Caenorhabditis elegans: one gene and its partners. The protein of the gene in region 2 interacts with the protein of the main gene of each other region in a pairwise test. Each region holds a gene or a part of one and is shown on either strand. Other genes may lie near its edges.

Region 1 (7,998 bases), on a different chromosome or scaffold from region 2:
CGTTTTCTTACCCATCATCCCAATTTCATTTACCGCACCGCCCTTCTCTAAACCACGTGTTCCCTCTCTATGTCGATCTCTGCGTCTCCCTCGTTTATACTACCCTCTAGTGTCTCTCTGTACTCTTGACCATCATCGCGATGTACGCGCGCGTCGGAATTCTGTCGCGACAGCACTACTGACGTTGTCCTCTCTTTAGTTCTCTCACTCTCTCATCTCTTTGGACTCTCTCCAAATCGCACACTATTCAATATGTCTGCCTGCTTGTCTCGTGTCTCCGTGGTTTATGTACTTACTGGGTCAAGAGAGTGTGTTAGATGAGAGGTCTTTTTTTTGGTTTTTCTTCACCTCTCTCAATTTTCAGAGAAAACTCTACTTCTCTAATTCATTTTTTGATCAACGAAGAAATGTTTGGATGCCCATCTTTGGTTTGTAGGCACCGCCCACTAGCTGCTCAGTTTTTCTCTAATGAGAGATTTCAGATTTTCAGAAAATCTATTAATTCTTATAGTTCAAAGGTAACGCTAATAGGTTTGATTTCATTGATCTGTATTTTAAATTTTTATTTAACTCCAATGTCAAAACATAGCTCCTGAACCACATATCGGAAAAAGTTGATCCTTTCCATTATAAAGATATGGACTAAACTCAATTTTCGCTAAATTTAATCAATTATCAGTCACTCTACTTCTCTGTACTCTAGCTTTCCCCCAATTTTTTGTCTAACATTCTGTCAATCGACAGTCTCTGAGAAGTCGTTTTGCCCACTGTCGTTCAATTTCTTGTCTTATCAACATCTTTCTTCTTACATTTTGTCGTCGCCTCCCGCTTGTTGATGATGACTATCTGTTTCCCTCGTTTCATATGACTATTGATTTTATTTAATGTTCCAATAACTTTCGACAATTCTTTATTATATTTTGAGGATTTATATTAATTGTGCACTCTCTTGATGTATCGATATTTTCAATTTCTCGATTAAGCTAAAAAGTGTGATATGAGATGTAAGGACTAGCTTTATTAGACTCAAAACTGTCTGAAAACACCAAATTTCTTAATGAAACTTTTTGAAAACTTCTCAAAAAAATTATGGTGGCTCAAAAAGGACCTAAAATCAGTTAAATTTTAAAATTTGAGCAACTCTCAGCGGCTGAAAACTTATTTTTTTGTCATATTTTGGGCCGCCATAGTTTTTTTGTGTCCTTTTCAAAAATTTAATTAGAAAATTCGGTGTTTTCAGACAATTTTGAGTGTAATAGAGTAATTAAAAATTCGACTACACCGCCTTTAAGTCCAAAGATTGATTGAATCCCGATCTTAACTATTTTATTTGAAATTCACTTGATAATAAGGATAAACTAAAATCACTACACAAACTACCCTTTCTGAACTTGAGTATAGTTATCTTCAAAAACATTATTGTTTACGCTCGGTGAAAACACTACATTCTAGTGATTCCCCTGTTCTTTGACTTACTTCAACTACAATTTTTTCAAAGATTGATCGTAGTTCATTCATAGTTTGATGTTAGTCACCCCCTCAATCTTGCCCCATTCATACCATTGACGTAACATCAATATCCAGATTTATATTTTTGAATCGGGAAAATTTTGCTTTTAATCTTTTTGTGTGCCCTTTTCTCCTTCACTGGCTTATCACATGATTCTTGTAATCAGTTTGTATTCACTCAATATAAAGAAATTGACAATTTTTCTTGAATTGAATTCAGCGAAATTTCCAGTCTACCTAAGTTCTTGTTTTTAGATTTGGGTTTTAAATTGAGCATTTGATCTCTATGATTTGTTTTCTGCAACATTCTTATGATACTTGCCTAACAAATAGTCAATTGTCCATGAAATTGTTACAAATCTTGACGTCCTCTGGGACCCCGTCCAAACAACTGTCACTAACATATCCAATCGATCGTTTTGTGCACCCTTGGTATTTATGATGTTTCAATTTGTCTCACTACACTCTACCCTAGTGCTATAAATCATAACTAAACTTGATTTTTTATTCAAAAGTGTTAACATTCGAAAATCTAACAACCCCTTATGTTCTCAATGATAATTTTAAGAACATTTGATACAATTTTTCTAATTCCCTCTACCCGATTCTATTCAATTTAAAATTGTCATACATTTTCAGCCCACCTGAAAGTTGCCCGTCATTACGGGGAAGTTGCCCCAATCACACCAACCTCAGCTTCACTGAAGCTGCACCTATTCACTATCAAGATGGAAGACAATCGGAAAAGGTAGAGTTAGAATTCTGTTAGAATCGAAATTCATTCTTAAACATTCCATGATTGGATGCCTGAAAACGCTAGAAGTACCGTAGTCCTTTGGGTTTGCTCCATGCTCTGCTCGCAAATGAGAGAGAGGGAGCATTGGCAGAGGTAGATGTATTGAAAATGCGCATTTCCGAATCGAATATCAAATGTGAATCATCTATATAAAATATATCTCGCTCTTTTTAGACACAACTCATTTTTAATCGGAGATGTTAGATAAAGTAAATTATGAAAATAAATTGTGAAATAATTGTGATTGAAGGTGGAGTAGCGCCAGTGGCAGTTTTGCCTAAAAAATACACTTACAATGGCTCGAAACAACCAAAAATCATAATAAAACACTTAAAAATTTTTTAGATTTTTCATAATTTCCGGTCAAAGTTTTGGCAAATGGCCAAAATTTTTACAAACATAAGTATTTGAGGAATGCCGCATGTTCCGATCCCTACTATGCTTCCAAAATTATGAGTGGCAAAAATTGAGTGATTATCATCTAACGGACGGTAAATAAACAATTTCAAAAAATTTTTGACAATTTTTAATTTGATATTCGGTCATTTTAGTACCATTGGATTAGTTTTCAACACTTTCTCCACTGGCTCCTCCTACTCCACCTTTGAAAAAATAAATTTTCCCAGTTATACTTAAAACTAAATTAAATCGAAAAACCTCATGAGAAGTGTACTTATATAGGTATATAATTTTTTGAAATTCACCAATTTTGGGGTGACAAGAAATTCAAAATCAAACTTTTTAGAAACATGGAACGCCGTCGTGAAACATCGAGACACGCGGCTCGTGATCGTCGGTCTAAAGAATCGGATATATTTGATGATCTGAAAATGTGTGTGCCTATTGTTGAAGAAGGTACCGTAACTCATCTAGACCGTATTGCACTTCTTCGTGTTGCCGCCACAATTTGTCGACTGCGCAAGACAGCCGGTAATGGTAAGTGACATCGAATAAAGAAATAGTTGATTCAACATCAAAAATCACTTGAAAATCGTGTTTTATGCTGAGAAAATCGACCAAAAATCACTGCCAATTTTTCTCAAATTAATATTTTTCTTTCAGTATTGGAAAACAATTTGGACAATGAAATCACAAATGAGGTATGGACTGAAGACACCATCGCCGAATGCTTGGACGGCTTTGTTATGATTGTTGACAGTGATTCTTCAATTCTTTACGTCACTGAAAGTGTTGCAATGTATTTAGGATTAACACAGGTGAGCAATAGAAAACTTGCTTCTTTAACATCGATATATTTTCAGACAGATTTAACAGGTCGAGCCCTTCGAGACTTTCTTCATCCATCCGACTATGACGAGTTTGACAAGCAATCAAAAATGCTGCACAAGCCACGTGGCGAGGACACAGACACCACCGGCATCAACATGGTGCTTCGAATGAAGACAGTCATCAGCCCACGTGGAAGATGTCTGAATTTGAAGAGTGCTTTGTACAAATCAGTGTCTTTCCTGGTTCATTCAAAAGTTTCAACTGGTGGACACGTGTCATTCATGCAAGGTATCACAATTCCTGCTGGACAGGGTACAACTAATGCAAATGCATCTGCAATGACAAAGGTGAATATCTGCTTTGAATGTTTCATAGTAAGATTCTAAAGTTTGAACTTTTGATCTTGGGAATTTCTGCTCCTCCTTTCCGCTTCTTGATAAACTGATGGAATTGTGAGACAAAATGTTGAGTAGACGTTACACAATTTCATTTTCTTCTTATTCTTCTGCTCGCTCGAAAAGTTTGTTCTTTTGATCTTTAAAATAGAGAATAGTGCTTTGAGCAAAGCACACTCAGCCGTTGGCACCTCGCGCATAGAAAACAGGATTAGAAAATTGGAGAGAAGTAGAGAAGCACAAGCACATGCAACTTGGCGTCATCTTCTCCTTTTTTGAAGCAGAAGAGAAAACGGAGAAGATGTTACATCTTGTATTGCTGCTCCGTTTGCAAAAGTAAAATGAGCAGGGACTCTGAATACCTAGATAGAAAAGTGAGTCCTAAAGGGCGTGTATATTCGAAAACTTTTTCAAATCAGATTTATAGATGCTATAAGTTTAATAAAAATATAGATGGATTAATTTACAGTACACGGAAAGCCCAATGGGTGCATTCACAACTCGTCACACTTGCGACATGCGCATCACTTTCGTTTCGGATAAGTTCAATTACATCTTGAAAAGTGAGCTGAAGACTCTCATGGGCACCAGTTTCTACGAATTGGTACATCCAGCCGATATGATGATAGTATCAAAATCCATGAAGGAACTTTTTGCCAAAGGACACATCCGTACCCCGTATTACCGGTTGATTGCTGCAAATGACACACTTGCCTGGATTCAAACAGAAGCTACTACAATCACACATACGACGAAAGGACAAAAAGGACAATATGTCATTTGTGTTCATTACGTTCTCGGAATCCAAGGAGCTGAAGAGTCATTGGTAGTTTGCACTGATTCAATGCCAGCTGGAATGCAAGTAGATATCAAGAAGGAAGTGGATGATACAAGAGACTATATTGGAAGACAACCTGAAATTGTGGAATGCGTCGATTTTACTCCATTGATCGAGCCAGAAGATCCATTTGATACGGTTATTGAGCCAGTCGTTGGTGGAGAAGAACCTGTTAAGCAGGCTGATATGGGTAAGTACATGTTTAAGAACGTATTAAAAGTTTGTAATTATACAGTTTGATTCACCTAAGTTTTTTTTATCCAAATTGAATAATTTACGAGGTACGTATATAGGAATTTATTCGGTGACGGATGAGTATGAGCAACGTGTTTATGGGCAAATTTCTGCCGGCAATGATATAGAAGACTGCGATATGGATTCTGATACAGAATCCATAGAAGATTCCGGTTTAGCACCGGAATTCGATGTGGATCTGGCTCCGATTTATAATGAGAAAATGGAAGTTGACGGAGAGGATGAGGACGGCGGAGAGGAGGTACTTTGGGAAATGGGATTATGATTACTAAGTTAAAAAAACAACAGATCGCAGTTTTCCCCTCCGTTGTCCTCATACCTCCGTGAGTTTCTCTTTTTCTTATTTTCAAACTTGTCAAACTTGTCCATGCATGTCGTATTATTTTTTACCCTACGCCTACTCAAAGTTCCATACATTTAGCAAGTGATTTCTTAACGTGTGTATTTCAGGAGCACGTAAGAACAGCTACGATGACGTTTTGCAATGGCTTTTTCGCGACCAGCCAAGCTCTCCGCCGCCGGCACGCTACCGGTCAGCGGACCGCTTCAGGACAACCGAACCGTCGAATTTCGGTTCCGCTCTGGCCTCGCCGGACTTCATGGATTCGTCATCTCGTACCTCCCGACCGAAGACATCATACGGACGAAGAGCACAAAGTCAGGGAAGTCGAACAACTGGATCGTCTTCCACGTCAGCATCGGCCACATTGCCACACAGTGCCAACTACTCGCCACTTGCAGAGGGCATCTCACAATGTGGACTTAACAGTCCCCCGAGGTTAGTTTTTTATACATTTTTCACAATTAGCACGTTGAGCATGTACATGTTTATAATATCCTTGTATCAGTTGCAGTATCAAATCTGGACAAGTCGTGTACGGAGACGCTCGATCTATGGGACGTAGCTGCGATCCGTCCGATTCGTCACGACGCTTTTCCGCCCTTTCACCATCAGATACTCTCAATGTGTCGTCCACTAGAGGCATCAACCCAGTCATCGGAAGCAATGATGTGTTCTCCACTATGCCTTTTGCCGATTCTATCGCCATTGCCGAAAGGATCGATTCGTCGCCAACATTAACCTCTGGCGAACCAATACTTTGTGGTTAGTTTTTTTTAAATGTTCAAATCAATCTCATTCGTGAAAGAAATCAGATAACTTTCAACAAAATGTTTAACTTTCAGACGATCTTCAATGGGAAGAGCCTGATTTATCGTGCTTGGCACCATTCGTTGACACTTATGATATGATGCAAATGGACGAGGGGTTACCACCAGAGCTTCAAGCTCTTTACGACTTGCCTGACTTTACACCTGCGGTACCTCAAGCCCCAGCTGCTCGGCCTGTGCACATTGACGTAAGCCTGTTTTGTTTTTGGCTCCTAACATTATGTTAATTTTTGCAGAGAAGCCCACCAGCGAAGCGAATGCACCAATCAGGTCCCTCAGATTTAGATTTTATGTACACTCAACATTATCAACCATTCCAACAAGACGAGACATATTGGCAAGGACAGCAACAGCAAAATGAACAACAGCCTAGTTCTTATTCCCCATTTCCAATGCTCTCTTGATTATTTTCTACCCCCTCTCAAACTGTTCATTGTTTTGTTTTCAAAAATATACTCTTCATTCATTCAAGTCACACTTCTTATTACTTAATTCTATTGCTCTTTTTAAGAATAATGAGTTTCAAGAATCCTCCCCGATAAATTTTCCCCCATTCCTTTTTCCCTTTCCCTCTGATTTCTTTATTTAGTAAAAAAAAGAAGAATCGTAGTACAAAACGTGTCTATCTGTGTGTCCGTTTGTCCGTTTTTCCCATCTCCATAGTGATAGTTAATTGCATCATTTATACAACGAATCTTCTTATGTTAAGTTTTCTTTTCATTTTTTCACAATGCTCTCGTCTCATTCATTTTCAAAATTCTGTCCGTCTTCGTTTTCTTCTCGATAAAACCTTTTTGGTTTGATCATCTTTTTAAAACTTTACAAAAAGCACTATTACAGAGTTTAGCATTCATTTTTGTGGAAAATATCTGAAATTTTGAGGTATGAGCTTGTAAAGTGAAAACGCGTCTAAATCTATTCGTCTTGATTTACAAATTACTTCAAACGTACGATCTTCCTATTAGACTTTCACTTCTTAGTAGTACTGCACCTCGAACACCTTCTAAAATTTAGACTGTTTATTTTGAAATGTTTTTTTGCAAAATTACAACAAGGCTAGGATTATTGCATTTTTGTTCCAATTAACCACAATTTTGCAAAATGTCTTTCAGAAACAGTTGTTCTTGTAAATGAAAACATGGAATCCTAAACAAAAAAGGCGTATGAAAATTAGTATTGCACAACCTAGTTGTAATGCATTCGCTTTGAAAAATAGTATTGCATTCATATTAATAGATAATGAATACATATACGCATCAGACCTCCGGTTTTTTTTGTGGAAAAAGCGAAAAATGAAAAATTTTCTTACTTTTTTCTGTTTTCCAATTATTCGGTTTTTCGATTTTTCGGTTTTGCACAAGAAAAACTAAAAAATGGTCATGCAATAGTCAATGTTGAAAACTGTCAGTTTCAATAATTTCCGACAATCGGGGGTTTTATGCAATTTTATAAGTTTCAATATGCTAAGTTTCACTAATCAAACCGATTCTTTTTGCAAAAGTGGTTTGAAATTCCATATCAAAGATCAAGATCTAGAATTATCAAAACTACTGTTTCGGAACTAAAACAACTGCCTAGTTCAATTTGCCATTCCAAATCAGGGGTACACGGCAATTTTTTCTGTTGTGTCCGTTAGAATTGTAGTAATTAGTCGAACCCACAATTTATTGATGAGGTTAAATCGGTAATAAATATATAACAAACAAATGAGTTCAGTTCTATTCACACGTGTTGATGCCCTCTTGATAACCTTCGCTCACGTCATACTTCTTTCTGGTGTGTTGCATAACCACACAACATTTTCT
Region 2 (6,279 bases):
ACCGTAGTTTTATTTGAACAGCAAGCATCAAATATTAATAAATACTTACATTGTTGTTAATGCAGTTTTTGTCGTTGCAATTGCCATCTGAAAACAAAAAAATGTTGGCTAGAGTGTGGCTAAATAGGGGGCAAAGTGCAATAACAAGAAGAAATCACAGGAAAAAAATTTTGTCCTCGTGTACGACACGGCCGTGGCCTAGAATTCTCGGAGCTTCAAATGGAATTTATTAATTTTTTGGCTCGATATTTTCAACAAAATCTCTTGATATGTGATGATTAGTCACGTTTTTTCTATTTTAATGAAATTTGTTTGTGTAAATAACCTCGCGAAACCTGTTTTCGCATCAGCTGTCGTCGCTTTTGAACAAGACGCTCGTATTCTTTTCATTAGAGCGCCGTTGCCTTTCTTCATTTTGCCAATTTAACAGTACGATTTCTTATATTCTATTTCAATATTATACTTAAAGTTTATTTTATCAAACTCTCATTTTTAGATGCCATCGGTTCCACGTGTTGATCGCCTCAAACCCATTTACACAGCCGCAAAAGCTCTGAACTTTGGATGGCGATTTTCTGATTTTCTGAAAATTCCGGCTTATAATGGAATCTCGCGTTACACCAACCAACTTCATCGCATCACTGTCAGGTTTTGCAAACAAAGTGAATCCAGTGTCGGAGTTCGCAATTTTATTGAGAATCAACTCGTTGAAATCGGTAAGAATTTCTGTCTACGATCAAAAAATTAATAGAGAATCTAAATTAAAAGCTTCATTTTTTTTTAAATAAAGAAGGAAATCCGTTTTTTTCAGGCCGTAAAAACCCATCAGTTGTGATCTATGCCCAGCCTGTGCGAAACTCGAACCCATCAATCCGCGCAGAATATGGAAATGGTCGGACTCTACAGATCAATGCAAAAAACATGACACAAGACGAAGTGAGCAAAGATGTGCATTTGTTATTCTCAAGAAGCGGCGAACCAGTTGTGAAGCTAGAGAGTCGTCAAAGTGCATTGGTTCCTTCTATTCAAGGTCAATGGACACCGATAACATGGCTTCCAACAGAAATGAACACGGAACAACTTCCAGCGAAACAGTTCTCAAAGCACAAGTCAACGGCAACGTCGGCGACGGAATATATTCTTCAAAATCCACCAAAATAAGCAATAATCCGTTATTTTATAGTTGTTTTCATTTATTCGTTGTTTTCTTTTGATTTTTTGACAATATTATTAGTAATAAAATTTAGTGTTCAGAATGAGTTGAATAACTCGTTGGTCCAGAAAAAAGGAAAAATACTGAACAGAAAAGTTAAGGAAATTGAAAAAAAAAGAAAACTTTTCAAGAAGTAGATAGAAATGAGAATCATTGGAATAGGCTTCAAAAAAAAATATATCAATTTCTAGAAATTATAATCACTGGTTATATCCATTCATCGGGTCCCATTGCCATTGTGCCTGTGGTGCTCCTTGAGCTTCAGGTCTCCATCCTCCACTACTCGATTGTCCGTAATCCACAGCACTTGGAGCACCGCCGAGCTCTCCAAATTCACTGGCTTGAGGTTGAGGAACAGTTGGTGCAGTGACCCAATTATTAATATCTTCTTGTGGAGCAATTTGATGTGTTGCAACCACGTATTCGAACTGTTCCGAGTATGGATTCATGAATTTGTATGCAGACACAGTACATGGAATGTAATCAGTACTGGTACGTACTCGAATATTTATTCTCATTGGTTGGTCACTGAAATGGAAATGTTTTTATTTAGTTAACATGGAATCTACTGCTATAGGTTTAAAGGAAAGTACATTTTTCGAAATGGTCCCGCCACGAATATTATTCGTGAAAAATTCGCCTGAAAATATTCCCTAGAACCGCGAAAATTACGATTAAAAAACTACGGTACCTGGTCTCGACAAGACAAATGTTTGTTTAATGAAAAAGGTTTGAGCCTTTAAAAAGTACGGTAATTTTAATGTTTCTACTCAATTCTCTTTGGTTTTTCATAGTTTTTTTGATAAAGGTATATTTATTTGTTTAAAAACTCACATAAGACAACATGTATTTTTACAAATAGTGAGAAAAACTATGAAAAATCGACGAAAATTCTACAGAGTAGAAAGTTTGAAATTGCAGTACTCTTTAAAACCGCACACACTCTTGAAAGCAGGTAATATGAAATTTGATGGACGCAAATTGTTCAAAAAGGTTTTTTTACGAAAACTTACCTTAAAAGAGCCACAAATGAGTCTTGAAGGGTCTTCTCATCTGCTGGATGTGCAAGATTCCACCAATATCTTCCGATAAGTTGATCACTGCTCAAACCAATTAAATCACTAACCCTCGCATCAATAAATGTCATTTTTCCATCTTCCGAAACACGAACCGAAAATTGATTTGTTGATGTTGGATCAGCACAGACCGGCATTGATGCTACCTTTAATTAAATCACGTTTATCTGCATCGTAAACTATTCTAACCTGTAACCTGGCAATTGCCACCAAACAAGATGAAGCTGGAGCATTAATTCCCTGTGGTGGAGCATTTTTGATATATCCTGTGCAATGCATCACAACGTAATTTTGACCAGCATGTTGGAATAAGGGACGGCGATTTCTGAGACGATGAAGTGGTTCAAGGGCTCCGACACGCATTCGACAGATGAATCCACGACGACATGACATATGAACTCGTGTTGATGCTCCTTCGCGTTTCACTGATCCTAAAATTCAATGATTTTGATAGTTAACTTGAAGTGGGTTACTGTACTTTTAAAGATACACACATTTTAAGAGCGAGCAGATACCTTTTTGACGGAAAATCACAAATTTTGGGCATGCCAAAATCTAGTGAAATTACAATAGATGCTTTTAAAACAAATACTACTTAATTCGATTGACTGAAGTAAGTGGTTATTACTGTAAACGGTTCCAAGTTATATGACTACTTTGGAAAAAATTCAAAAAATCCTTGAATCTCTCCTCTTCTCTTTTTATGATAACTCACCAGATTTCAAATCGAGAACTTTATTAACTGATACTTCACTTCCACACAATTGATCTCTAATTTTATCTTGATCATCTGGATGTATGAGTTCATTCAAATTTCTTTGAAGCCAATCTTCCTAAAAATTAATATTTATATTTCAATAATGAAAGATTCAAATCTTGCTCACCTGCTTCAAATTAAGTACGGGAGTAATTGAATCAGCAACATATAACACTTTTCCAGTCTGACAACAAACAACAAAAAGAAATCCATTCGCTGCTTCTAGAATCAAATGTTTCAATTCTTGATCCGTAAGAAATGATGGTTTATATGAAGTTTCATCTTGTGCCGTATGTCCTCGAATTCCTTTCATGTGTGATACTGCCATTCGGAGAATCGTTAGTTTATCGGGTTTACGTCCAAGTGATGCACATTGTGGAACCATTTCGGCTAATTCATTTATGTAATGAGTCATTTTGTTACGGCGACGTCGCTCAATCTAAAACGTTTTCAGTTGAATTTGAAGCAAGAAATTTTACTTTTTCCATATTGAATTTTGATTTCAGAAATTTCAACCAAAGGGTTGGTAAATTGCCAAATTTTTAAACTTTTAGTTTTTAGTTTAATACTTGCAGAAAGAAAGATTTTTCGGTCGGCTTCCGAATTCATGATATGTGAAACTCTAAAATTGTGCCTATTTGAATTTTAATTATACAGTTTGAAATAATTTTTTAAAAAGTTCTCTATGACTCGATAATTTTAGCACCATATGTAGAAATTTTTAAAAAATTTAAAATCGCTGGAAATTTAATTTTGAGTTGTGTTACGTCCCATGAAAATTGCAGTTTTACAGGTCAAACAATACCCAGAGTATCGTACTTTTTATTTGAATTAATGAAACATAGCAGTATAAATTTTCAGATATAAATGTTCAAAACCTCACCTCTGAATGATTTTCCCTTGCAAATCTTTCCTTATTCTCTCCCATTTCATCTTCCATTCGAGCATATTTTCCAGATGGCATGCCCATATCTTCATCTTCCATTGCGAAGCTGAAATTATTTAAAATTTAAAATATAAGTTTAGAAGTATCCAAAAATAACCAGCAATAAGCATATCTGAATAGTTGTATTGCATAGAAAACCAATTTTAATCAACACATTTTTTGCAATAAAAAGCCATAACTTAAGCTAATAATGTCACACTATGCCTTACCTCGTCGCCGATTGCCATGGATCCATAAATATATCCTGAGCCATTCTGAAAACTATAAAGAAAAGTTTTTTTCTGTCGAAAAGAAGAATTGAAAGACACCAAAACAAATTATAGGCAATTGAATATATTAGGTGAAGAATTTAAAAAATTGAATTTTAAAACAAGTTGTGCAATGGATCGAGAGTAAATCAATTAATTATGTAAATCGTCGCTTCCTTGCCCGATGAGAGAGAAAGTATGGAAAATCTAGAGTAAGATGCGTCAGAGAATACTCTCCATTGTAGACACAATGTCTTTAAACACGCGATACGTATGTCTGAGTCTCCATTTTTCATATACTCTCACCAATCAATATTTCTTTAGGATGATGGGGGATGGGAAAGGAATGGTGTGAGAGAGAGGGGCGTGCGCGCTTTTTCTATTTGTCCAGTACCTCGTCACCAAACACCGTTGAGGACCGTATTATTACTATGAAGAGAGAAAGAAATGAAAAGAAATTGAGAGTGACCCCCCTACATATGGTCACTGGATATTTGAGAGAAGAAGCAACAGATGGAATTAGAGGGGAGAGACTTTTTAAGGATGATGAAGGAGGAAACGGAAAAAAATTAGAAGATGATGGATGGATGATAGGGCATATAAAAATGTGATAGTGATAATGCAAGAAAATAAGTGAAATAATGCACGCATTTATAGTGTGACCAGTATTTGAAAGTTGAATGACCACAATTGATTGATCAAATTTTTTTAACTTTCACACTCTCAATTAAAATCATTTTTTATTTGAAAGAAAACCTTTTGCATAGGCCCCTATAAAACATTCTGCTACATGCCTCGCACTTTGAACTAAAAAATATCGACCTGAAAACTGTTCCTTGGATGTTTCCAACTTTCGAGTTTTGTGAAATTGTTCCAAAAGTGTAGTTTTTTATCAAGTTAAAGTTTTCTTTCTAAAAAAACACACATAATTCAAGCTTTCAGAATGTTTGTTTCAGATCGACTTTTCCACTCGGCCTTTTGTAGATTTAGAATGCACTAGAGTTTGGCATAAGTTTGATTTTATTCATGTCAAACTTTGACCCAAACCTTTCTTGTATTGTTTTAAACTGTTGAAAAAAATATTGTCGCTGCCAAATTCTGGCAAAAAGTTGGTGTACAATGCCAAGCAGTCCAAGGCGCTCTTCGCCAGAGGAGCCATAGGACGAAACTCCATATTCAAATTAGTTATGCTTCTAAAAAGACAGATATAGTGACATATATTTCAATTTGGAGACCCCATTCAGAACTGTTCATATATTACAAAATTGATAATCTAAATATCAGTGCTCTTTTCTCGAATTCAACTCGTCTGCTCAACCGATTCATTCGTCAAAGTTGTATCTCCAGATTTCACGGATTGTAAGTCGACTGCAGAAAGACACAAAATCTTCTTTTTATTGAATCTCACCGTTTTCTCGTTGAATAACTAAAATCATTATGTTAGGTGACAATCATAAGGTTCAGATAAACTTACCACATTAAAGTACGGATGAGTGAGAATCTCAATTCCAGAGAGACGCTTGTTCGGATTGTAGACAAGGATTTGAAGAAGAACTGCTACTGACTCTTTCATGTCATCTTGCTCAATTTTCTGAAAAACAACTCTCTGGAGGTTTTCTTAAAGCTTTTTGCCTGAAACCGATTTGATTCCACATGCGCCTTATCGTTTGGTGCCTACTCTGTGCCTATCTTGTACCTAGCTTGTGCCGCGCAATCAATAACAGACTAGTGGTACATCAAATCGGTTTCAAATGTTAAGATGGTTCCGAATGTAGCACTTAAAACCGGTCGCTGATGAAAATTGTCTGAATTTTCAATGAACTCGTTCTTCGTATAATAATTACCGTATTATAGACTGTAGTTCTCCGATCCTTCTGATAAATGACTGTCTGTGTGTAGAGATAAGTCAAGTCGGCAGTTGTCTTCGATTTATTATATTCATATGAATCCAAAACTTCCTGCAACTTCGTGCTGCTCACTTTCATTGATGACACATCAGAATCTGTTGGGTATCCGAGCATATCGAAAATGACCTCCGC
Region 3 (8,080 bases), on a different chromosome or scaffold from region 2:
GAGTAACCATAGCAACATGGCATTTCACCTGTTCAATCTAGCCACTCAACTCGCCACATTTCTTATTCTCAATCTCAGCTTCAATAAAATCCCAACTATTGAAGTGATATAAAGATCGTGTAACCATGTCGACGGACATGGACCCAGTCCCGGGTCTTCCTTTACTTACCACTCTTTTTTGTAATTCAACAACTGTGAAGAAAAAAGTGAAGATAAGCTGTGATTTTCCTGATGAACTCTACACAAAGAAAGCATTTTACGGAGGACCAATTGGAGCTGGACTCTCCGCAATTGAAGTTTCAATCATCGCAGTTTTCTTTCTGCTTTCTTTGAAAATGAAGCGTGATATCACGAAGGTCTTTCTGACTATTGTCTACATTCCACTTGGACTGTCATCTCTGTTCAAGATTGCACTGGCTATCTACAGTATCATGCTTGGAGCTTATGGATGGTGGTACATGGTTTTTCTGATGTTCTTCAACTGGTTTTACACTACAGCAGTCCTCACTACATCCATTGGATCTGTGATTTTTCTCTCGGCGTTGATTGTAATTGCAAGGAAAAGACAAAACTTTAATCCTTGTGATTCATGGTAAGAAAATGGTTAGAATGACACAGCAAAAATCTTGAATAACATTTTTTGTTAAATGAATAGTTGATGCCTCCGATATTTTCCAGGACATCTTACTTTGCTGTGCTCTTCTTTGCTGCTATACTCTCTGGTTCATATCATTTCATCGCATCCCAATGGAACCCACTTCCTGCTTCTGCACTGTTTTTTACCTACCTTTTGTGCACAGTGGGAATCATTGCCGAGCTTCTAGTGGTAATCTATTTTTGATCTCTAAAGGTGGACATCAGTGCCCAGTTATACATTAGTGAGGTATTAAACAAAGTGTGAAAAAATCCAAAGAATAGTAGAAAATTTAACCGAAGCCAACAAGTGGTGTGATCCTATTTAAAGATCGTTTTCAGTGTAATTGTTTTGCACTTTACTTCTACACCCCTACACATATCTATTGACAGTAATTCAACAATTCCACCTTCAAATGAAATTTAAATATAGAAAATCAAAAATGTTTTCCAGTGCTTGTGTGTTGGATTAATGTGCAAACCAAAACCAGCAGCCGGAACAAACATGGCAGTTCTGACTGGTGATCCAGTTGTCGATGATGCACGTAGCCGTCTTGGTTTTGGAGCAGCTGCTGTAATTGTAATGAATATTCCTCAATGGTTTGAGTTTTGTAAGTTTTTGCAACTGAATTGAATTTTAATTGGTTTTATCGTATTCTTTTCAGATGTGAAAATCGCCGAACTTTTCGCGCCATACCTTTGGAACTCGGACGATGAAAAAACTGTATACTACACTGCACTGGCAATTCAACTTCTGACATTTGACACTGTTCGTTTGTTCATGAGCCTGTTCATGCTAGTTGCCTTCTTCCTAACCGTTTCATCAAGATTTGCCATTGATCAATGGATTCGTCGTCAACATCACCCAACTGGAAATCCAACCGCCACACAGAACAAGGTCTTCATCGCAACCCAAAATCAACCATTGCTAATGGATACCGGAGAGAAAAAGAGTCCACCACCACCAACACCTCCAAATCCTCCAGTTAATCATGCTATTGCTCCAGTCGCTCAACATCCTCAACCCATGCCAATTCCCCACCAAGTACCTTCGCCAGCTCATGGTGCAGCTCATGGTCATCCACAAGCTCCACCAATGTATCCTGGAATCGGATTCGCTCCTGGTATGCTTCAACTTCCACAAAACATGCAAACAACAATTGTCTATACTCCATCAATGGCATATGATAACGGACATCCTGCAGCTCAAGTGAACTAAGAGCTTAAGAGTTTTAAGTTAATTTGAATTTTTCATTTTCACTAAATAAACTCCCTGTTAACAAATTTCAAAAGTTAAAATGAAAAACAACTCCGGTAAATGCATAATTACGACAGTAAAGTTATGATTTAGAACTCATTATAACTGTTTATTATGTGTGTTTAGCTTTTTTTTTAATTAGTAAAAACTAACCCTGTTTAATGCTCTCCCTAAGTATCACTTAACATACGCCAAAAGTACTCAATTTCCTAGAAAGGTCAAAATGCGGAAAAAGAAAAGTACACATTTCTCAGTGTACACTCACTTTTGCTACCTATTGCAACATGCTGGCACCGCTTAGCTAGCGGTTTTCCTCACCTCCGTGTTGATAAACAAAGAGTGCAGAGACAGTGGTCAGTACCTGGGGGGCAGTAACTAGGTACTTCCCCCCGTACTTCCTTAACCTACAAGATGGAAAAATGAAAGAGATGAGTGAAATTGAAATCTGAGAGAGTAAATGAAAGTAAGAGAGAGTGATCGAGCAAACAATGGACGCGCCAGTCGCGGCCGCGGCCATGGCTCTCTCAAGTACAGTGAGGATTACTGTCCATTCGAAACGAGAGAGGTGCTTTCCTTTTCTAGGCGGGCGGAGATAGTCAGTGACGTAACACGCGGTGTCCGCGCGGAGTTCGGGAGGTAGATGGTCAGGGCGTGACCTCACGAAGATCGCCCGTGTTCCCGCACATATCGCATAGTCTGCGTGGCTGCACGAAGAGCTCCGTGAAGAAAGAGATGAGCACGACGGTGCCTCTACATGCTTCTTCCTTTTCTTCCGGAACAACCGGAGCTGGAGGCGGAGTTCAACAAGCTCTTCAACTGCAACATTGTGCCTATCACGTTGGAGCATCGGTTGGCAGTAGTGGTTCAGCACTTAACAACAATTCAATTAATGTTCCTAATAATAATACAATGGGAATGTCTTCAGCAGGAAGCTCTAATGGGAGCAACTTAGTCAATGGCCAGCAAAGGTGAGTTGTATCTAATTATATCATTCCACTTCAAACTTTATTTTTCTATCTTTCTTCTGAAAACTTTGCTAAGTTCAATTATCAGTTCAACCATCCTAGAAATCCTAGATCCTAGAAACTCATCCTCCATCCATGCCATCAGTTTTATAGTTTCATAATTTTGCTCAATAATTTTGCAGGGGTTCTATTTTTCATAGTGGATATGATTAGGTTTTGACTATTTAAAAAAGCTGACAGTAATTTTCAAAAACAAAATGTTTAGATGTCAATTGTTCAAAGCCTAATAATACCATTTTGAGGAATTCAATATTCACAATAAAGTGAAGAAACGGATATTACTAGGTCTTCCATGCAATTTAAAAATTCTAAAAAGCGTTCCAACAAGGCAGCCGTATCTGGTCTTAAATTTGAGCAGTGAATTTTTTGCAAAGTTACCCCTTACAGTATGATTTTTCATAACAAATTAAGTTTCTCTTCTGTTTATTTTTCTATTTATGGCATGCGTGTAAGCAGGAGAGTAGGTATTTTTAGGCCTAGTTGGAAGATGTATATAGTCCACAATAATGTGGTCTAAAACTTTTCTTATGTTCGTCTATGTCTATGATAAGATAATGATTTCACAATTAATCCCAAATTTTCAAAAGCTCAAATTTCTTCCCGGATATCTTACAAGTTTCGAAACCTAACCAGTTCTTAAATAAACATTTTCAATTTCTTGTCTCCCTTTCACCTCCCGCTAAAGGGTCATCATGTTCTAAGTTTGACCAACTTCTTTCAAAGACCTTTTTCTTTCCGCGCGGAACTTTCCGTGCTCCGCTCTTTTTCCGCACGGACACTCTGACGTCACGTGTGTGTTGAAATGAAATAAGGTGAATATCCCACAGAGTCTGTATATTTAAAAGTAAATATGAACGAACGGCTGAGAAAATCGGAGAGAATGAATTAGCAGAATTTACATATTGCGCCATAAAAAGACAAACACGAGTTAGAAGTGGCTCAAAGCTCAATTCAAAGCTCAATTTATTAAATAACTGAGAAGTGTTTAAGGTTCCTTTGATAGTGAGTATACATTTTTCGATACGCTTGAAGTAGAGATTTCAGCAAAAATAAAACTCAAATTTGAGCCCGGCCGAGTTTAGTAGATTCCAAAAACTGGTTATTGTACCATTTGACGTTTGTTTATCTGAATATGCATATTTAAAATGTGCTAATTTATTTTATATTTGAAAACAAAAATCATAACAAAAATCATAGAGAACTTTCTTGGATGTTTAGCGTATAATTTTTACCTTAGAAAATTTCACGAACATTATTTTATTTGAAATTAAAAGTAAATCTTCTCACCCCGGGAAATTTAGAGATGAAGCTTTTCAAACCGTTTCACAATCTAAACTTTCTCCCCTCGGATACCAATGCAAACATTCGTTCTTCATTTCTCATGCGCCAAGAAATTAACATATTGCGTCACAGTCTATACAAACAATTCGTATTTTCTAGGTCAACTCGTGGAGCTTCAAAGCAACGCAGAGATCAGATCAATGTGGAGATTCAGAAGCTTCGAGATCTTCTTCCTCTATCAGATCTTATCAAGGATCGACTTTTCCAGTTACAAGTGATGTCCCTTGGGTGTATTTTCATACGGAAACATAGATATCAACAAACAGTTCTACAACCCCAGCTGCAAATGTTACAAATGCAGATGTCATCTCCAATGCCACGTGGCATCGATATCTGCAAAGCTCTTCGAGGATTCATGTTAATGGTCACGAGAAGTGGAAAAATACTTCATGTTTCCGATAATGCAAGCGAGTACCTGGGACATTCAGTTGAAGAGATTATGTGTCAGGGAGATTCAATTTATGATTTGGTGGATGGGAGAGATCATGGTGCTGTACAGGCAGAACTTGCAAGTGGACCTCCAGGAGCTGCAACTTTTCCGGAGGAAAGAGTATTCATATGTCGATTGAATTTGGCAAGAACTGCAAAACGACAGTTACAGTATCATAAAGTAAGAATTAACTTCATTTAGAATACTATCATTTTTTTCGAAGTCATGCTAACTTTGCATTGGGGACATGCCAAATGCCAAAAATATGTTATTTCAAAGCAAAAATTGGGATTTTCAGTTCGTCCTATTCCAAGGTCGATATATTCAACCTGCCGAATTTTATCAACAATTGAATGCTCAAAACTCTCAACCTGATTGTGATCAGCCAGTTTTCTCGGCTTATTGTCAACCTCTTATAAATCCAGAAAATGCTGAAGGAATGTCCACTGGAAATACACATGTGTTTAGTACTCAACATTATTTGGATATGAAATTTAAGGAAGCCGATACAATGTAAGCATGAAAAATGTTAAAAACTTGAATTTTATTATTGATCAATTTCAGGGCCTCTCAACATTTGGGATTCAGTAAAGAGCAATTGAAAGGAATGTCTTGGTACGGAATGATTCATCCTAATCATGTACCCGAAATTGCTCATAAACATCGATTATGTATGTTTTAAGATACTGTGTGAAATACTTTTACATAATTTTTTTCAGTATGTCAAGAGAAAGAAGGGTCAGTTCTTGCATTAATTCGATTACAAGCTGCAAATGGAGAATGGATATGGTTGCATACAGTATTCTCAATTCGACCAAATAATGAGTTGAATAGTGATGGAAAAAGACTTCGTCATGTTATACACTGCTTCCATCAGAAACTTACGTAAGTTTTATGAACGCGAAAATAGTTTAAGACTTTTTCCCGTCCAAAACCACTCCACATATCAACAAAAATGTAAAAAAAATATGTTTTTTTTTACTTTTCTATTTACTATGAGTTCTATACACTCATAACTTTGGAAATCCTTAAGAACAATTTTTTCTAAGATTTCGTATTTTTATAATTATGCTTTATCTATTATGTTGTAAACGTTGTACATAGACATCTCAAACATTCGAGATCGTTCTAAACTGCTCAAAATTTGGAATATTACCAAAACTTCGGCAGAAATGTCTCTAAAATTTAATATGATTTGAAGGTTATTAGTATTATATTGAGTGGGTTAAGTTACATGATTATTAGAGTATTTACAGAAAAGCTCCTTCAAAGATTTACAAATATTCCGTAACTCCAAGCTAGACCCTACAATTAAATTTTTCAGTGATCTGGAAGCTGCGACTCTTCAAGCGAATTCCTGGATCTACAGCATGCGACACACTTACCCAACAGTTTTTTCATGTCAAGATTCTCCACCACCATCCGAAGAACAACAACCATCAAGTCCGCAAACTCCACCATTCACTGAGCAGCCGCCAATGCTCGTTGAGCAGAAGCCTCTTATTGGAGCAGGAATCGCACCAGGTTTTCCGTCATTGGATTACAATCAGGTGATTAGAACGTAAAACTTCGATTTAATTTTAACTTTATGAACTTTCAGATAAAAGTGGAAATTCCAATGCGTCCAATCAATACTCAAATTCCATTATTTACCCCCGAGTCATCATCACCGGAGAGTTCTGCATCCCTTCATACATCTTTACTTCCTCATCATAATGCATTCCCATTAGACATTCTTGAAGACATTTTACCTTCAAATGACGTGCTCCCAGAGCTTAAAGATGAAGTGGACGAAATTCTTCGGCAAGTTGAGCAATCTCCAGCAACATCCCCAGCTCATTCATTTCCTTCAAATGTTAATTTTGGTCATCGTCATTCTATGCCAAATGCATTTGATTCCGCCGAATTGTACAAATATCTAGGACCAGCACTATTTGATGGAAATTTTGCAATGCAACATCAACACCACCTCCAACAACAGCATCAATCCCAACCGAATCATCCTCTTCAAATGACTCCAATTCCTCCCATGTCATGTCCTCCATCAAATTACGGACAATCAAACTTTCTATTCCATCATCAACATCTCAATCAACACCTACATCATTCCCAACCTCCGCATCCTTACCATTTTGATTATTACAACCGAAAACGAAGTTGGGCTGTATAAAATAATTGAAAATTAGTACTCTAGTATCTCATTTCATTCCATTACTCAAATTTATCTCTTATATTTATTTCCATTATAGACTTTTCAATTGATGTCTTTCATTTTCATTCATTATCAGTATTTATCCGGGTAGATTTACAAGAGCTTTCACATATTGACTATATCATTCTTTCAATTTTATAATTCTCCTCTTTGTAAGTTTTAATAAATATTTTATTGTTTTTTATTCCACAAGATAAAGCATTACTGAAAAAATTTACAATACTTCAAAAATAATTATTTATTGAATTTTAGTCTCCAGGTTTAATCAATCAAATAATTCTCGTCAAAATAGCCTTCGAAATAAGTTGTATTGCAGTAAAAACGTATGATTTTATCTAGAGACAAAAAAATATTTCCAACGGTCAAACGAACCTTTCAAATGATGATCTGAATTTTTTTCAGTTCATTTTTTTTATGGAATCCAAGCTCCTTTTAAAAAAAAGCAGGCCACTTATGTTTATTATCCTTCGGCACCAATAGATTATTTTGAAGTAATTTTAAAACTTGACAAATCGGCACCATTTTTGGTTGAGAATTTTCGGGTCAGAACTTTGAAGGAATCCGAGGTAAGATCTGCTCTAAATGTGTGTGGTAAGCTAGCCTAAATTAAAGTTAGTTTCAGATGATATTCAATTCGTTTTGACGTTTGAGACTACCTTGACTACCATTCCTTGTTCGAATAATTGCGTACATAAATAAAAGCATTAAAACTGACAAAATTGTGCTAAACACAACAAAAACATGACAAACTTCAACGAATCACAAAGCACAGTTTATCAATCCGGGTTCAATTCTGAAAAGAAATCGGCGAACTTCAACATCAAGCCGCCCATAAGAGACATAATATGATAGTCATTAGTTGCATCATATGTCTGCTCCTCCTATCTCATACTATATATTCCAATGCCGAACTGATAGTGCCGAAAAGAAGTGAGTTTTCCATTTAATTTTTCGCTGCAGTTTTGTTTTCGTCAACCAGTTTCAATTAATTCAAGCTATATAATACATTTACAGGTTAAATTAGGGGAAAAAAGTTGGAAGCCATGAAGACGTTTATTGCATTGTTAGCTCTCTTGACTGTGGTCTCTGCAGAAGTCCACCAATTTAATATTGGGTAAGTTTTACTGATTAATTGAGCTCAATTTTCCATTATTAGATACCGACCAAACATGCGTCAACGT

What was found. The genes of interacting proteins can lie anywhere in the genome.
Region 1: the proteins of aha-1 (region 2) and hif-1 interact in binary tests that used the Caenorhabditis elegans proteins (3 or more experiments, as listed by UniProt).
Region 3: the proteins of aha-1 (region 2) and cky-1 interact in a two-hybrid assay, tested with the Caenorhabditis elegans proteins (3 studies listed by BioGRID).

What each region holds. Positions count from the first base shown.
Region 1 is NC_003283.11:20,778,265-20,786,262, forward strand, and holds hif-1 (Hypoxia-inducible factor 1), read left to right. Parts: upstream 1-2,142; 5' UTR 2,143-2,237; coding exon 2,238-2,257; intron 2,258-3,050; coding exon 3,051-3,241; intron 3,242-3,367; coding exon 3,368-3,522; intron 3,523-3,567; coding exon 3,568-3,882; intron 3,883-4,207; exon of another isoform or gene 4,208-4,271; coding exon of another isoform or gene 4,272-4,304; intron 4,305-4,399; coding exon 4,400-4,958; intron 4,959-5,061; coding exon of another isoform or gene 5,062-5,264; intron 5,265-5,473; coding exon 5,474-5,801; intron 5,802-5,871; coding exon 5,872-6,128; intron 6,129-6,208; coding exon 6,209-6,381; intron 6,382-6,429; coding exon 6,430-6,597; 3' UTR 6,598-6,996; downstream 6,997-7,998.
Region 2 is NC_003279.8:10,192,746-10,199,024, forward strand, and holds aha-1 (Aryl hydrocarbon receptor nuclear translocator homolog), read right to left. Parts: upstream 4,253-6,279; 5' UTR 4,246-4,252; coding exon 4,202-4,245; intron 4,039-4,201; coding exon 3,930-4,038; intron 3,486-3,929; coding exon 3,174-3,485; intron 3,123-3,173; coding exon 3,005-3,122; intron 2,721-3,004; coding exon 2,479-2,720; intron 2,436-2,478; coding exon 2,227-2,435; intron 1,742-2,226; coding exon 1,414-1,741; 3' UTR 1,180-1,413; downstream 1-1,179. Other genes in the region: lid-1 (AB hydrolase-1 domain-containing protein), read right to left, coding at 50-87; mrpl-34 (Large ribosomal subunit protein mL43), read left to right, coding at 497-716, 812-1,161; C25A1.15 (Transposase), read left to right, coding at 4,576-4,851; Y106G6E.1 (Protein kinase domain-containing protein), read right to left, coding at 5,541-5,666, 5,715-5,831, 6,085-6,279. UniProt on the Caenorhabditis elegans protein: Transcription factor. Efficient DNA binding requires dimerization with another bHLH protein, such as cky-1 or ahr-1. Regulates transcription of target genes, probably acting in complex with cky-1. Has a role in cellular differentiation.
Region 3 is NC_003283.11:12,734,128-12,742,207, forward strand, and holds cky-1 (PAS domain-containing protein cky-1), read left to right. Parts: upstream 1-2,575; 5' UTR 2,576-2,623; coding exon 2,624-2,859; intron 2,860-3,600; exon of another isoform or gene 3,601-3,789; intron 3,790-4,356; coding exon 4,357-4,867; intron 4,868-4,985; coding exon 4,986-5,200; intron 5,201-5,251; coding exon 5,252-5,358; intron 5,359-5,406; coding exon 5,407-5,572; intron 5,573-6,011; coding exon 6,012-6,237; intron 6,238-6,287; coding exon 6,288-6,857; 3' UTR 6,858-7,078; downstream 7,079-8,080. Other genes in the region: xbx-9 (XK-related protein), read left to right, coding at 126-592, 679-826, 1,088-1,244, 1,299-1,852; hrg-7 (Aspartic protease 10), read left to right, coding at 7,943-8,013, 8,056-8,080. UniProt on the Caenorhabditis elegans protein: Transcription factor. Efficient DNA binding requires dimerization with another bHLH protein, such as ARNT homolog aha-1. Regulates transcription of target genes, probably acting in complex with aha-1.